3 linked regions of the Drosophila melanogaster genome follow. The protein of the gene in region 1 interacts with the protein of each later gene in a pairwise test. Each region holds a gene or a part of one and is shown on either strand. Other genes may lie near its edges.

Region 1 (5,177 bases):
CTGAAGCCCTTTATAGCGCTCCGTTTATTTGGTTTTTCGTTTTCTCTTAACAGCGGCCGCGGATGTGGACGATGCGATGGGCACCTTGCCCCAGCTAATGCCCAGAGCGTACAGATAGTAGGCCCCAAAGAAGTAGAGCACTCCCAACGCCGAGTACACGGAGGTCAGCAGTAGGGGCAAGAAGGGCAGGCGCTGGTCCAGGTGCAGCAGGAAAGAGAGCAGATGCTCGTACAGCGGAATAGCCATGAAGCCCAGCATGTATAGCCACTCCAGCGTGTGGAAGCCTCGGAAGCCGGGGAAGATGCGATACAGCTGGCCGTACATCATGGCCACGTACGACATGTACAGGGAATACCGGGGAATGTACAGATCCGCATCGAAGAGCAGCGGAAAGAGAGAGAAATAGCCGGCAATGCCAAGGACATAGGCGTATCTGGCATCCTCCCGGTTTACCAGCGTGAGCAGACTGAAAAAGGGTGGGCCTGTTAGTAGGATTCCTTCATTTCGAATTAACTGAGGGGAAGGGAACTCACCAGAGCGGAAGGAGCACCATTAAGATGGCCTTCTCGTGCACATGCCAGCCGAAGACGAAGGAGGAACAGCCGCACAAAACCACCGCTCGCAGGAAGACCAGCGGACTTTGTCTGCAAAGAGATGGCGGATAAGTTTGCTGCGATATCTTGGAATCCAAACGAGGATTTCCTCACTTCTTGGCACTGCGAAAGAGCTTCACCAAAATGGGCAGCATGAAGAGAGCGGTCAGGGCAAAAGTCACAGGCGGTGTGATGGCTGGCAGCACCGAGTGCCTGACCTCCTGGACCAATCCTGACGTCGTCGAGGCACCGCCATCCTGTACCTTCAAAACTCCGGCGGCCAACTTGTCGGCGGCATTGTACAGCGCCCAGAAGTTGGGTGCCCAGTAGGCGTGCGTTAGGCCACGCTTGAAAGGAAACAGACGGGAGAGGACTTGCGGCAATTGCTGCCAGAAGGGTCCGAAAGACACGGCGAACGGAGTAAGTCCAACGACCAGCAGCTTGACAACGGCACCCACCGCAGACACCACACTCGCTTGCTCCAGGCAATAGAAACGCAGCAGGTAGACCCCAAAAGCGGGCGCCATGTACAGAAAGATGTGCTTAAAGTTGAGCAGCACGGCGAAGGCAAAGGCGCTCCAGAGGAACCGCTGCCGGATGAGGGAACCGATGCTCAGGAGCAGTATGCCGAACAGCAAGCCATTGTACTGAAAGTGAATGTGGTCCACGAAGATCAATCCCACGTTGAGGAGCAGCAACATGGAGGCGGCAAAGAACTGCTGCGTATCCCTGCCCAATCCCAGTGAGCCCAGGCAGCTGCGCACGCCGAGCACATACACTAGATCCGTAACAATCACCGAGAGCCGCTGAAAGTAAACGGTGGCCTTGGACTCGTAATTCAGGTTATCCACCACCAGCATTCGTGGATCCACGTACTTGGCCACCTGCGAGAGCAGCCACTCGAAGTAGGCGAAGAACGGCGGATAGTCCAGTGTCCACTCGCTGGTGGCGTCCACATACCACTGATTCAGCGGCAAACTGTGGGTGATGGCCAGCCAGTTGCGATGGACTTCGAAATCCGTGGAATGGCTAAGGATGAAGTTGATTTAGTGGGCTTGATAAGTGGACAGAGCACTGCATTTACTAGGCTGGAATCAGCAGGATCTTTAGGCCGGTGGCTATGCCCACCAGGTGCCAGAAGAGGTCCTTCATCTTCGTTTCTCTCAGGGATTGGGATTGTAGTTTAGATTCGATGCATTCCTTATCAGCGGTAAGTGCTGTCCGATCTGGCTTGAAAGCGGGCAGAATGCGATTGTCGATTGTGCCGGCTAAATGTGGCTTGGAAGTAGCCAGTTAGCCCGACTAAAAGCTATCGTTATCGGGCTGTCCAGTTTTCGCCCTCACCGCCGCCTGGTCACACTGACGCTCGCGTGTATGCATGTGTGTGTGTGTGCATTACATTACGCATTTGCTTTGCGAATTAGAAGCTAATTAAAGCGAATATTGTGGACTCGAGCCGGTCGCCAGAGTCCCACGGTTGCCGCCAACGCCGAGCTAAGGTCTCCAGCCAACCGGGCCATGTACGCCACCAACAATGGCGGCACGAACAAGGCGCCAAACAGGTAAGTTCCGCCTCCGCCAGCAAAATCTAGCGCCCCTCCCCCAAAAAAACAGGCGGTACAGCCGAGATTTTTAGTGTGTGCGCCGATCCTTTTTGTTTTCATTCTGCGATTTGTGCATGCCAAATAATTTGAATGAAACTAATGTGAATGCCCTACAGCAATGCCACCTCCATGTTCGACAACACCATCACAGTGACGCCCATAAAGATGGAACTGGGCCAGGCGTATGCCAAATCGCAAAATTCAGCGGCTATGCAGCGAAGAACACCGAATGCAGTGGTGGTCACCTCCTCCTCCACCGTCTCCTCCGCCCAGCAGCAGCAGCAACAGCAGGGCCAGCAGCAACAGCAGACGGTTCCCATGGCCAGTTTGGTGTCCAACGCCTGTACGCTGGTTAATCCCAGCATGAGTGTGACGGTGGCCACCACCGTTGCGAGCGGCGCCAAGGAGAAGACCACGAAGGCCACACGAACTCAGGTGGCACGCAAACCGCCGCCCACCATCGACAACTTCTGGCCAAATATCGTGAGCGAGGTGCACAGCATCGGCCAGGTGGATGCCAAGCACCAGGTGCTGCCGCTGGCGCGCATCAAGAAAATCATGAAGCTGGACGAGAACGCCAAGATGATTGCCGGCGAGGCGCCGCTACTGTTTGCCAAAGCCTGCGAGTACTTCATTCAGGAGCTGACTATGCACGCTTGGGTGCACACCGAGGAGAGCCGGCGGCGTACGCTCCAGCGTTCGGACATTGCCCAGGCCATAGCCAACTACGACCAGTTCGACTTCCTCATCGACATTGTGCCGCGCGAAGAGATCAAACCGTCGTCGGCGCAAAAGACCAAGGATGGCAGTACATCCAGTTCGAGCGGAATGGCGGGCGCAGCCAGCAGTGCCGCCTCCACCTCCAACACAGCCACCTCCAATGCGGCCGCCTCCGTGGCGGGCAATGCTACCGCCACGGGCAACTTTGTAGCCAGTGGTTCCACCGTACCTGCGACCACCGCTGGTGGCCTCAAGCTGGACACCACGGGTGCAACCAATGCCGCCGAGGTGCTCGGCTTCAGCACTGTCAACTCGGACATCTTCTCAGCGCAACTGCAGCAGCAACAACAACAGCAGCAACAGCACGCCGCCCAGCAGCAGCAGCAACAACAGCAGCAGCAACATCACCAGGCACATCCACAGCAGGTTCAGATTATTCAGCAGGGCGCTGGTGGCCAACAGTTGCAATACTTTATCGCACTGCCGAGTCAGCAGGCGGCGCAGCTCGTGCAGCAGCCGCAGCCCGCGCAGAATCATCTACCCATCAACATTTTGTCAACCCAACAACCCACCCAGCAGTTGATACTGACCGCCGGTCCCAATGGTCAGCTGACCGCAACGCCAGCGCCGCAAACGACTGCCCAGCAACAGACGGCGCTGCTCCAGAATCTCGCCCAGCAGCAACAGCAGCACCAGCAACATCAGCAGCAGATTCAGCTGCTGCAGCAAGTGGTTACGCCCACGGGGGAGCTGACTAATGTGCCGGTAGGTATCACTTGAGGTAATTGTATTGAATCCCAGATTAAGACTTGCCTTTCCCATTGCAGATCGCCATCAATGCCAGTCATTTGAATCTCCTGCAGCGACTACAAATGCAACAGCAGCAGCAGCAGCAACAACAGCAGCAGCAACAGCAGCAGCAGCAACAACAGGTCATCATACCAACCCAACTGCTGACGACACAGCAACTGCTCCAGCTGGGCGGAGCACCCACAGTGGCCCATCAGCAGCAGCAGCAACAGCAGCAGCACGCCAATCTCACGCAGCAGAGCAACGCCAGTGCGGTGGCCAGTGGCACGCCGATCTTTATCAACTCGACCATGACTGGTGCCCAGGCGGCGGCGACGCAGGCGCAGCAGCAGCAGTCGGCGCAGCAGCAACAGGCACAAACGATCTCCACCATGTCCACGGATCGCACATTAACCGGCGGATTTCGGTAAAAGCTGGAAGTATGATATCCGTACCAACGGACGGACGGACAGACGGACAGTTGGCAATCATATCGAAAGCATCGGGAGGCATTGGAATCGGGCATTGGCAAGCGGGCATTGATTGCGCCATCCCCTGTCATCCAGCACAATGTATAATATTATAGTTTACGTAGGTGTATACGATTGTATATCGCGGGGGAGATTATATATAGCTAGTGTCTAAGTCGTAGGCATCTGTGTAGAAACGATTTCTCAATTGTAATTTATTGCTGACCCTCCCGCCCCCTGGCAGCAGGTTTCACCTTCTCCAAAAAAAAAAACCGCCACCTCCACCACTTTTAAACCTAGCACTTAGAGAGAATAATGGGAAATCGAGTGTATTAGTGTATGTATGTGACGGGTGACGGATGCCACCGGTCCAAAGCATAACCCAGCGTTTCGCGTGGCATCCGCGCTCTTTATTATGTATTTGTACTTCTAACTAAGCTAAGATCTGATAAACAATTATAAGCCACCAAGGACTATGTGCCAGAAACTCCTGCGCTAACTGTATTCACTTTCTGGCCAGGATCTTGTTGATGTCCTGCAGTTCGCGGGTGCTCCATGGTTCCAGCGGATCGGGCGGCGATTGCGTTCGCCGCGTGTAAGCGGAACGTCCCCGCTGGCTGCGCTCGTCCGGATCATCGCTTTGCTCCGGCGAAACTCTGGCGCCCAAGGAAAACGTGGGATTAAGATATGAAACGGACACTGGGATGGGAACTCACTTGTTTCGGCGACGAACACGAGCACTTTTGGCGCGACGAGCGGCCTCATCCTGTGCTGGCTGGCACTTGCGCAGGTGAAACTGCTTCATAGTGGCGTGCACCTCCTCCGCCGTGGGTATATCCTCGCTGTCCTGTCCACCATTGCCGTCCTCGGTCTCCACTTCGGCTTCCTGTTCGATGGTCAGCACCTCCTCCGCGACGGCTTCATCGAAGTGGAAGCCCTGCTAGTGGGTTTACATTTTGCACTCAGCTATTTCACTTTTTTTATCCACTCACCGTGTCCAC
Region 2 (5,730 bases), on another chromosome or scaffold:
GCGGGAAAGATATATATCTTAATGTAAACACATAATTAATTTCTAATTTCTTTTACATCACAAGCAGCTAAACAGATATACATATATTTCATTTAAGTTCTATTACCACCAAATTATTTTTAAATAAGAGAGAACGCTTAAGCAAATTTGTTGGACATTGAGATACCGTTTACACAGCCAGAAGGAATGCAAAATATAAACAATGAAAACAAAAAGTTTTGGGTGTTGAATTGGTCGTGGCGAAATAGTTCAAGCATATCAATACAAATTATCAAGAAAAACAACTTAATTTTTTAAGATAAAGAACTTTTCAAAAGTATACGAACAGAAGGATTGGTAGCCGAAGACAAGAATATAAGCACGTTATAATGCCCGAAACGCTTCCTTCCGTTCCTTCTGACATAATTTTTTCCAAAACCATACACATAATCGTTCGAAATCACTACCATAAAACTTGTCTTTTCATTCCTCAAAAATAGCTAATAAATAAGCTTACTATCTCAAGACATTCCCTTAAATGCTGTTGTCATAAAAAACATTTGACCACGTTGGTTGCCTTGCCAACACTAATAAATTTTTGAATTTGGGCGCCGAGAGTATTTAAATCTTTTGGAAGCTGAAATTTTCCAACACCAAACAGGACTCGCAGAACTTTGTTCATCCAGGATCTTAAGCTCAAAACCAAAACGTATGCGAATTAAAATTGCTGCTATTTAATTATTTAAAAGAATAGTTTTTATTTTTTATTAATTAATATTTATTCGGCGACAGACTTCCTCACTTATACTATTACAAGACACTTTATTACTAGCTTATCTTTGATTTGAAGCTGTTCACGATCTCGTCCCGACTCAGACTGATCTTCTAAATCTTAATCCTAATCCACTCAACCTCGGCCAGAAGCTTTTCTTTAGGATTCTCTTAAGCTTTTTAATATGTTTAGGATAAAAGCTTTACACTGAAATTATTTCCCAGCATTGTGAAATTCAAATTTGCTGACTGACGCAGTTTGACTGAAGCGCAATAAGTTGACCATGGCTTGGTCTCCAAGTGGAAGTTGTGTTTACTTTAAGTTTGGTTATATATCGGGTGGCTAAGTGTTGGCGTCAAAAACAAGGGCAAAGGCAACGCTGCTGAGATTGGAGTTAGAAATTTGTTTAGCTTTTGGTAGAGTGCTATATTTATGGGTTGGATAACTTGCGTCACTACGTGGGGCATAAAAAATCTGTTGTCCCTTAACTCACTCCCCTACATCGAGTGATAAAGATAAATAGGAATTCCTAAAAGATTTAAGTATACAAAAATAAGTACGTTTTATATGGAATCTTTAAGAATTAGTTAAAAGTCGAGTGCCTGTAAAATTTCGTTATCTTATGGAATTTGTTATCAACCATGGCCCATGATCTTACCAAAGACACTAGAATATTCTAGTGTCTTTGCTCTTACAGTGTTACCTTAGCTTGTAGAATATTAAAAGTTAAGTCTCAATAAATTTAAAACGTGTTTTTAACGCAGCTCAGCACAAGATATTTCTTTTCGAAAGCTAGTAACAGCCAGATTCTACTGATCGTAGCGTTTGCCTTTTGAGTAAGAGACAACATGTAAGACAACATGTGATGTAATCCAAATTACGAAGTACAAAACGTATATAAAAATATTTATGTTTTCTGAGTTATCGAATTAGTGTAAAAGGGCTCTAAGAAATCCTACCAGTTCTTTGTGAATTTTGGTATATTTTCGAGGGAAATGATTATTTTCATGAGTCGTGAAACGGTCACACTTTTAAAAAGTAAAACTGCTGCTCGTCTGCTCTATCTCTGAGCGTTGTTCTGTCTCCATCTCTCTTTAGCAATCGTAAAAAATGATGGACTGAAAGTTAAAGTGCTGGAATTTGTTAGAAAAAGATAACACTATTTAAATATATATCTTGTATTATTCCAAACAATATATCGTTAAAATACGTTATCAATTCACGAATACAATTTTACACCACTCAAATCTTAACAATTTTATTGTGGAGCAGGCAGTGCGCAATTTATGGTGTGGTCCGGTTGCGTAAAAGGTAATTTTAATAATGAAAAAAATAACACATGTAGTGTAATATTGTATGATAAAAAAACAAATGTGCTAGACTCCAGTTTAGATACTAGAGTCTGTTAATGTAAAGAGCTGCTGCATTAAACGTTCGTCTGTGTATGTTTTGTGTCGCGTATGTACATATTTTTTGTCTCACCGTCGCCATTTTTAATCAGTCGTTTTCGCTGGGTTCCTATGGCACTATATTCATCTCTTTTTCTCTTTTATAGAATTAGCGTCGCGTGATGCAGTGTTGAAAAGCGCGACAGAGCTGCAGTAAATAAAAGGCCAACGTATGATAAAAGTTAATTTTTGAGCATACTCGAATTTTGGGGACCATGGAAGACCTTACCAAAAACATTATCTTCACAAATGCCATTAATGGGCAACCGGCCACAATTCAATACCAGACGGCGGATGGCACCATTCTTAAACAGCCCAAAATAGAGGGCCAAAAAACGGAGCAGCAGCCTACCTTCTATTACACGACAAATGTAAGTAGTTTACTTACTATATGTTATTGGTGCTGACTTTTCATATTGTCTTCACATAGGGCAATGGCGGTACCGTCAATCTCGCACAGCTGGCCACCACAGACGACAATAAGACGTGTTATATAGCCCAGCCCGTGGGCGGATACAATTACGCCCTGGTCAACGGAATGCCTCTCAATCAGGGTGCAGCTCTTGGCATCGCCACGGTAGACGCACAAGGCCGCATCCAGATTGTCAATCAAAATAAGCCAATTGCAGCTGTATGTAAAAGGAAGACTCGTTAAGCAAAGCCTAAAGATTTTCTTCTTTGCAGAACACCATATCCAACATAAGCTTTAAGTGTGACGTATGTTCAGATATGTTCCCTCATTTGGCACTTCTTAATGCTCATAAGCGGATGCATACAGACGGGGAACAGCAGCAACAACAGCAACATAACGCCCAAGCGGGCGGCGATTCTATTGCCGTGGTCAGCGCGCAGGGGCTTGTGCAGGCACAGAACATTATTGGAAATGGTCAGATGGGCCAGATACAGATTGTGTCTTCTGACACGCTGGAGCCGGTTCAGCAATCTGTAATGCAGCAGCAGCAACATGAGTCAAAGGCAAGCAAGTGCATAAATTGTGGAAGCTCTATGCTGCAGCAGTCCAAACGCAAAGGTCCAAAGCAGGTGCGCTGCGAGTCCTGCATGCAGGCTGAACAAACAGCGCAACAACAACAGCAGCTCTTCGTCGCCCAAGACGGTAGTTGTGAAAGATTACATTCTAAATGGACCATAACTAACTTCATCGCATCTTTTGCAGGTCAAATGGCGCATCCCGTGCAAATCATATCAACGACTCCTCAGGCCCAAGCACAACTTCAGCAAATTGTGGCTGCACAGACTGGCGGTACAACGCCAAAGCGAGAGGCGAGCAGTGGGTCTGGCCATCATCCTGTGAAAAAACGAAATTCCCAGCAGATGACCAAATGCCAGAAATGCAATGGCTCCGGCGTGGTGCTAGTGGGGCAGCACTCCCATGCTTCACACAGCGGGGTGGGCGGATCGGTAAAGCAATCAGTTACTGTTAAAACTGAGTGAGTATAACATGAAATTGCAACCTTATCCTACGCTAACAAAACCAAGGTGTTTGTCCTGCAGAAATCCGTCCAAACCCTTCAGTTGTAATATATGTGGTGGTCTGTTTTCACGTTACTCAAGTCTGTGGTCCCATAAAAAGCTGCACAGCGGTGAAAAAAACTACAAGTGCAGCATCTGTGGATTGGCCTTTGCTAAAGCCGTATATTTGAAAAACCACGCGCGCATTCATACAGGCGAGAAACCCTATAAGTAATACCAATCTTCTACTTGAAATTATACTCTTTATACTAATTACCGTTATCTTTACATAGATGCCAAACCTGCGGCATGCAGTTTTCACAGTCACCACACCTCAAGAACCATGAACGCACGCACAGTGGCGAGCGGCCCTATGTGTGCGGTGTTTGCGACAAAGGATTTGCGCGCCACGCTACTCTTTGGAATCATAGGCGCATTCACACGGGCGAAAAGCCATACAAGTGTGAAATTTGTGGATCGGCCTTTTCTCAGGCGGCGCACCTTAAGAACCACGCAAAGGTGCACTCCGGAGAAAAACCCTACAAGTGCGAGATTTGCTCTGCAGCATTCGCTGATCGTTTTGCACTCAAGCGTCACCGCGGCATACACCAAAAGTACGGCCAAACTGCTCCTCGCCAGACCAGCAGCGATGGGATGATAGTGCATAAGCAGGAGATTCCTGACATGGAGGATGAGGCCCAACAGGAAGTGATTATCGGTGGGTTATAGATAGTTTAAATGCAGAGGTGACAGGCAGCTTAATGAAGTCACAGACACTGGAGTCCACCCTGCTTAGCTTCAGTTTATCGAGCGTTACTATGATCATCTGCCTCCACCTATGCTAGCCCCAGAACCATCTCTAAGGGCGCATATATCACCACAATGATATTAAAGAATAGAAAACGATGTTCCATCGTTAACACTTCAGCTGCATATGTCCTTTCTCCACTTTCATGTGGGATCTTCAAAAATGGGCGAAACCCAAAAACGCTTTTTACGATAAGCATACAAATGAACCTAATTTATTTGATAGCTTGTATAATATACTTAAACATCTTTAAACATTAAACGCATATATGTATAGGCATCGTATTTATAAGTGTTATAGGCTATTCTCTTATACAAATTGTAGGTGTAAAATATGGATTTATTAGGTGACGATACGAGCAAATCCGATACGTATGAATATGCACAGGTAATAAACACACACATATAAGTTGAAAGTTGTAAGCTTAAATATATTTTAATTAAATCTATCTAATATAAGTATGTATTAAATAATGCATAAAATCAAATAAATATTTGAATAAAATACAATTTTTTACTAACCTACTCCATTTGCAAGTGCCTTAACGAAGAATAGAGGGATCCCAGAAATAGGCACATTTTCCACCGTTTTCGACGTCTTATGCGTTTTTTTTTTATTAATGTAAGCACCATTTCACTTTAAATATAATTTTTTTAGTGTTTTGCCACGTTCATCTTATTCTTACGTGAAGCTATAAGGTCAGTAAATTTTAATGTTGGCAATAATATAATTAATAAATACACAAAACTTTAAATATTCATAGACGTAAAAGAGTAAAATAAAGTTAAAATTTATCGAAAATTAGATGATGTGAATTACTGCTGTCTTTTCAAAAAAATTAGAGCTGTTGATTTGTAAAATGGACGCACTCTTTTAAACTTCTTATATTTATATTTTTGCGTATTATCTGTTAAAAATAAAATATTTTTACATATTTAAAGTAAAGTTGTGAAGTGGCAACGAATTTTTTACAATAATCAAAACCAAGTGTTTAAGAATTAGGATTCATGGCTTGTATAATAAAGCTTTAAATTACTAGAATTCGCCATCAGTTAAATCAAGATAAATACGTATACGTATACATTTGCGAACATGGACTTTGCTTAGGGTCCATTTTTGAATTTGCGGTCATTACAAACTTATATTCATATGTATATAGGATTATTCAAGAATGAATACATTTTAGTTACACGGGATTGTAGTTTTGTTTCTTTTAATGTCAACTGGTTTGCATGCACTATGCAATCATGATT
Region 3 (4,589 bases), on another chromosome or scaffold:
AAACATAAAGAGTGCAATGTACGCACCTGGCGCCCTTATAACTGTGGTAAAGTGATCGATACGCCCCCTCAGAGTCCTGATCTGAACCCCATTGAAAATTTGTGGACCTACTTAAAGAAGAAGGTGGCAAAAAGGGACCTAAAACACAACAACAGCTTATGACTGTAATAGTCGAAGAGTGTGAAAAGATCCCGTTTGAATATGACCTGCAAAAACTTGTCCAATCCATGAAAAAAAGGCTTCAACTTGTAGCTAAAGCCAATGGGGAACATACTACATACCAAAACTTTTAAAATTTTAATAAAATAATTAAAAAATTTAGGTTTAAACTTCGATTTAGTGTTTTGTGTAAAGAGTTTCTTGACAGTCTCAAAAGTGTGTACACTTGGAATTTGTTGTTTATTTTCTTGTATATTTAATATTTTTAATTTGTTTTTTGATTTATAAGTAAAATAAATATTGTTTAATTATATTTTATAAAAAAATTGCGTTTAATTAAGCAAAAAACCCTTTATTTTTAGCTTTAAAGTCAAAAATTCAACTTATTTTACAGTGTGTAAACAGTTTCTTGACAAACTGTATGTATGTACACTTGCCACACTTTTTGGTGTTGTAATTATATCTTTCGGATCAGAAACCTCGCAATTTACGTGGCATTATAATTAAATATATTATTATTATTAAAATGTAACGAACATTATCCAAAATAAGATACAAATTGAAAAAAATACGGAGAACTAGAGTTCACTAAAATTATTAAAGGTTCCATAGGTTTCATACCTATGGCCCTAATATTGGAGGAAATATTTCCCATTGCGGTGGAGTTATTTATTATAGTTATTTTCACTGGTTATTTTATGTTATGGTATTTTCACTGGTGGAAGTACGGAGACTGAATGATATATGTTCTGCAGCCATGCAATATATATAAGTACAATTTATTAAATTTTTTAATCTAACATTGCTGTGGTGAGTATGGGGGTTGGGTCATAGCGTTTAGTATAAGTATTTTAAGTTAAGTACTTTTCTTGAGTGACATGGACTGGTAACATTAACATATGGCACAATATTTTAATTATTTTTACAAATAGCATTTAATTTTAAACTAGCATTAATTTCTTTTTATATTTTTGGATACCCCGTCAGAAGGACGAAAGCACCGGAAGGACAGAAGGACAGGAGTCATCGCCGGGGATAAATTGGAGTTTTGCAGCATTTAAATATAGCCGACTGTCCCACCCACTGTCCCTCCCACTGAAATCTTAATGTTGCAGATCTATTGCAGAAATCTTATTGTTAATAAAGCGGTTCATGACATGGATTGGTTGTGGTATTGGTACTAAAGAGGGCGGATCTTAAACTCCTCCCACTGTTATGTTATTATCTCAAAAACAGTGGAAAATTTTTAATGATTTTTTAATTTAATGAAATATTCCTGAAATGTCCTTAAGGTCTGAGGAGTTAAGGTTTGAGGAGGTCTAGCGTGCAAAATGTTGGGGAGCCGATTATTCTATCGCATTATTTTTTTACTTTCTTGAGCCCTATAAGTAGTACATAGATAGTTAGATCTGCCATTTTGAAACATTTTTGCATTTTTATTCTTGGGAATTTACTCCCAAATAACGTTAGCGCAAATTTATTAATTAATGTATTTATTAAATAAATTTATTATACTGATAACATATTAATATAGCAAAAAAAAATACGTTTTTGAATATATGTGCATTCTTTTTAAACTGCTGCACACATTTATTATTTTTTTGGACTCTTACAATACTTTTTCAAAAATTTTAAATATAACTGCGACTTTGAGCGATACTTTCACTTTTCCCGTGACGCCAACCGATATGCACAGCGCTTGCAGCCCTGGCCAATTTTGATGTGTTTCAGCATTGTACCCTGACAACCCTGCTCTGTAAAACTAGGAAAAACAGAAAATTTTATTTTCAATTGTTAAATATCCAAACGTAAACAGCCGGAAAATGTCACGACAAGCCTCTCGTTTGGACGCCAAGAAAGTGGTAAGTTGGCCAAAGAAGAGAGAACAGCGCAAGATCGGTATCGTTAGTCATTTGGAGGCATAGATCTAGTTGTAAGGTTAGATTTGTGCCATAGTGCCTAAGAACGAATCTTTGACGTGCCATCCACCCTCAAAATCGGCTTCATTCACTTTTCCAGTAAGTGTGTGTGTTGGGGGCTTGAGGTTGAGACACGGACACACAGACAGGCACAAGCCGACGTGCAATCAGGCAATGGAAAACCATTTCAGCGCCACCAGTCGCCCCTCAGCCACGCCCAGAATGTGCACCACCGCCTCTGCCGTCGGTGCTGCCGCCAGCGCCGCCGCCGCCGCCGGCAACAACAATAACAACAGCAATAGCAGCAGCAACAACAACGCAACAACCGGCAACAATTTAAGTGTTAGCACTGCAGCCGGAGGAGCCACAAATGCCGCAGCAACGGCACAACCCATCCAAGTGATACCAATGCCCATGCTGCCCACCGGAGCGGCGCAAATCATAATTGGCCAGCAGCCACAGGGTCAGGCGACGGCGACGGGTCTGCAGCCACAATTGATACCGCTGCAGGCCAACCAGATTATGCTGCAGGCTGCGCAGCAGCAGCCACAGATGCAGGTGATGCAGCTGCCCGATGGCCAGACTATATTCTATCAGACGCCCACCATTGCCGCCTTGGATCCGAATGCAGCGGCCAACGCCGCAGCTGCCATGGCAGCCCAGCCGACGCCGCACTACCTCAATATCAATGGGCAGCTGGTGCAGATCAATCCAGCACCGAGCGCTAATCAGGCGGCACCCACAGCTGGGCAACAGATTATAATGGTGCCGCAGACAGCGATGGCAGCGGTGAATGCAGCGGCCGCCAATGCCGGAGTAGGCGCCGGAGTGGGCACAGTGGTTACCCAACAACAACAGCAGCAGCATCAACAAGTACAATCCCAGACCCAAAACCAGCAGCAGCAGCAACAGCAGCAGACGGTGGCGGCGGTGGCTGCCAGTGCTGCAGTCAATAATATAAGCGCCGATGTCAGCACAAGTACAACTGGAACGAATACGAACAGCGAGGACGAGAGCTCCAAGGGCGAGGCGGACGAGGAGCCGCTCTATGTGAATGCCAAGCAGTACAAACGTATTCTCATTCGGCGGCAGGCCAGGGCCAAGCTAGAGTCGCGCATACCCAAGGAACGGTGCAAGTATCTGCACGAATCTCGTCATCGCCACGCCATGAATCGGGCTCGTGGCGAGGGTGGTCGCTTCCATTCGGCACAGGAGAAGGGCGACCAAGATTCGTCCGGCCCGGAAGGCGGCAGCATGCCAATGGCGTCCAGTGGCGGCGTCACCCTCAGCCGTGGCACGGCACGTGCTCCGCCCAAACTGATCGCGCCACATCAAACGCCCAGCATTACCATAACGGCGATCAAATCGGAATAGTCGCCTCCTAGCTGTAGGATACAAACTAGATAAGATTGTAGTCATAGCGTTTAGTCCTAAGCCAGTCGCTCTGTGTCCATTTGTCCTCAATCACACCACTTTAGTCGGCTCACATAGTTTTCATTTTTTTTTTTTTTCAAAATTAAGTCTTCATATATTATTTTCAAAGGGAATTTTTGGGTTTTTCTATTTATTTTCATTCACTTAGATTGGAAAAGTGATAAGTTCAAGAAAGAGATAATTGTTTTACTTATTATATTCATTTTCTAAATCGTTTCTAATTTCTAATATTTATTTTCTGTTAGCCAGCTGTTAAAAATTGTTTGTAATTATTAAATAGAGAATTTATTTCATTTACTAGACATTTTCAAAATTTACACAAGTAATGCAATTATTAATTTAGGGTTTATAGTTCATTTCAAAATGGAATGGGGAAAGGGCTGCCAATAGTCACCGCAAAACAACAGAGCTCAACAATATAAGATTCAACAAGGGTGAATGATATAGTCGCCTTCCCCGACTATCAGATACCCGTTACTCAGCTTTTGGAAATGCGAACTCGAAATTTCAAAAGTTCATAAATTTCAAACAAATTTTTTGGCAAATCGATAGAAGACTAATAAAATTATGAAAAAATATCCAAAAAATTTTCAAAAGTGTGGGAGTGGCAATTTTGTGCGGCTTGTGGGCGCTGCGTCGTGGTCTCTATCATTAACCTCAATATCAACCCTTTAGCGTTTATATTTCCTGAGATCTCTTTTAAACGGACAGACGGACATGGTTACATCGACTCGGCTACTGATTCCGATCAAAAATATATATACTTTATATGGTCGGAAACGCTTCCTTCTGCCTGTTACATACTTTTCAACGAATCTAGTATACTCTTTGAATCTACGAGTAACGGGTAAAGCACCATTGAGGACCATTTGCCGCATAATAAATGCAACACAGTTTATAAAATTAAAAAAAAAAAGCATATACATTTACTGCGGAACTCGTGAATGGCTACAGTTTTGTATATGGTACAGGCCTATAAAACGCTTTATTCTGGCTCTGGATTGATTTTTATTCGCTATCTGCTCTCTCCTCTCTTCCTCCTTTGTACAACAAACGAAAAATCAAAACACAGAACTC

Evidence for each region. The genes of interacting proteins can lie anywhere in the genome.
Region 2: the proteins of Nf-YC (region 1) and Clamp interact in a two-hybrid assay, tested with the Drosophila melanogaster proteins (one large-scale study listed by BioGRID).
Region 3: the proteins of Nf-YC (region 1) and Nf-YA interact in a two-hybrid assay, tested with the Drosophila melanogaster proteins (one large-scale study listed by BioGRID).

What each region holds. Positions count from the first base shown.
Region 1 is NC_004354.4:6,817,661-6,822,837, reverse strand, and holds Nf-YC (nuclear factor Y-box C), read left to right. Parts: upstream 1-1,918; 5' UTR 1,919-2,111; coding exon 2,112-2,155; intron 2,156-2,313; coding exon 2,314-3,682; intron 3,683-3,744; coding exon 3,745-4,137; 3' UTR 4,138-4,660; downstream 4,661-5,177. Other genes in the region: xit (xiantuan), read right to left, coding at 25-466, 534-644, 708-1,622, 1,678-1,745; iav (inactive), read right to left, coding at 4,682-4,832, 4,893-5,113, 5,169-5,177.
Region 2 is NT_033779.5:22,165,220-22,170,949, reverse strand, and holds Clamp (Chromatin-linked adaptor for MSL proteins), read left to right. Parts: upstream 1-1,806; 5' UTR 1,807-2,062; intron 2,063-2,306; 5' UTR 2,307-2,414; coding exon 2,415-2,570; intron 2,571-2,629; coding exon 2,630-2,830; intron 2,831-2,883; coding exon 2,884-3,313; intron 3,314-3,373; coding exon 3,374-3,647; intron 3,648-3,696; coding exon 3,697-3,900; intron 3,901-3,962; coding exon 3,963-4,398; 3' UTR 4,399-5,230; downstream 5,231-5,730. UniProt on the Drosophila melanogaster protein: Transcription factor involved in X-chromosome dosage compensation in males, the process by which transcription of the single X chromosome in the male is elevated. Binds to the DNA sequence (GA)n.
Region 3 is NT_037436.4:9,439,556-9,444,144, reverse strand, and holds Nf-YA (nuclear factor Y-box A), read left to right. Parts: upstream 1-1,877; 5' UTR 1,878-1,982; coding exon of another isoform or gene 1,983-2,021; intron 2,022-2,178; 5' UTR 2,179-2,252; coding exon 2,253-3,452; 3' UTR 3,453-4,089; downstream 4,090-4,589. Other genes in the region: Srg3 (Sting-regulated gene 3), read right to left, coding at 781-814; Bet3 (blocked early in transport 3), read left to right, coding at 1,983-2,021, 4,585-4,589.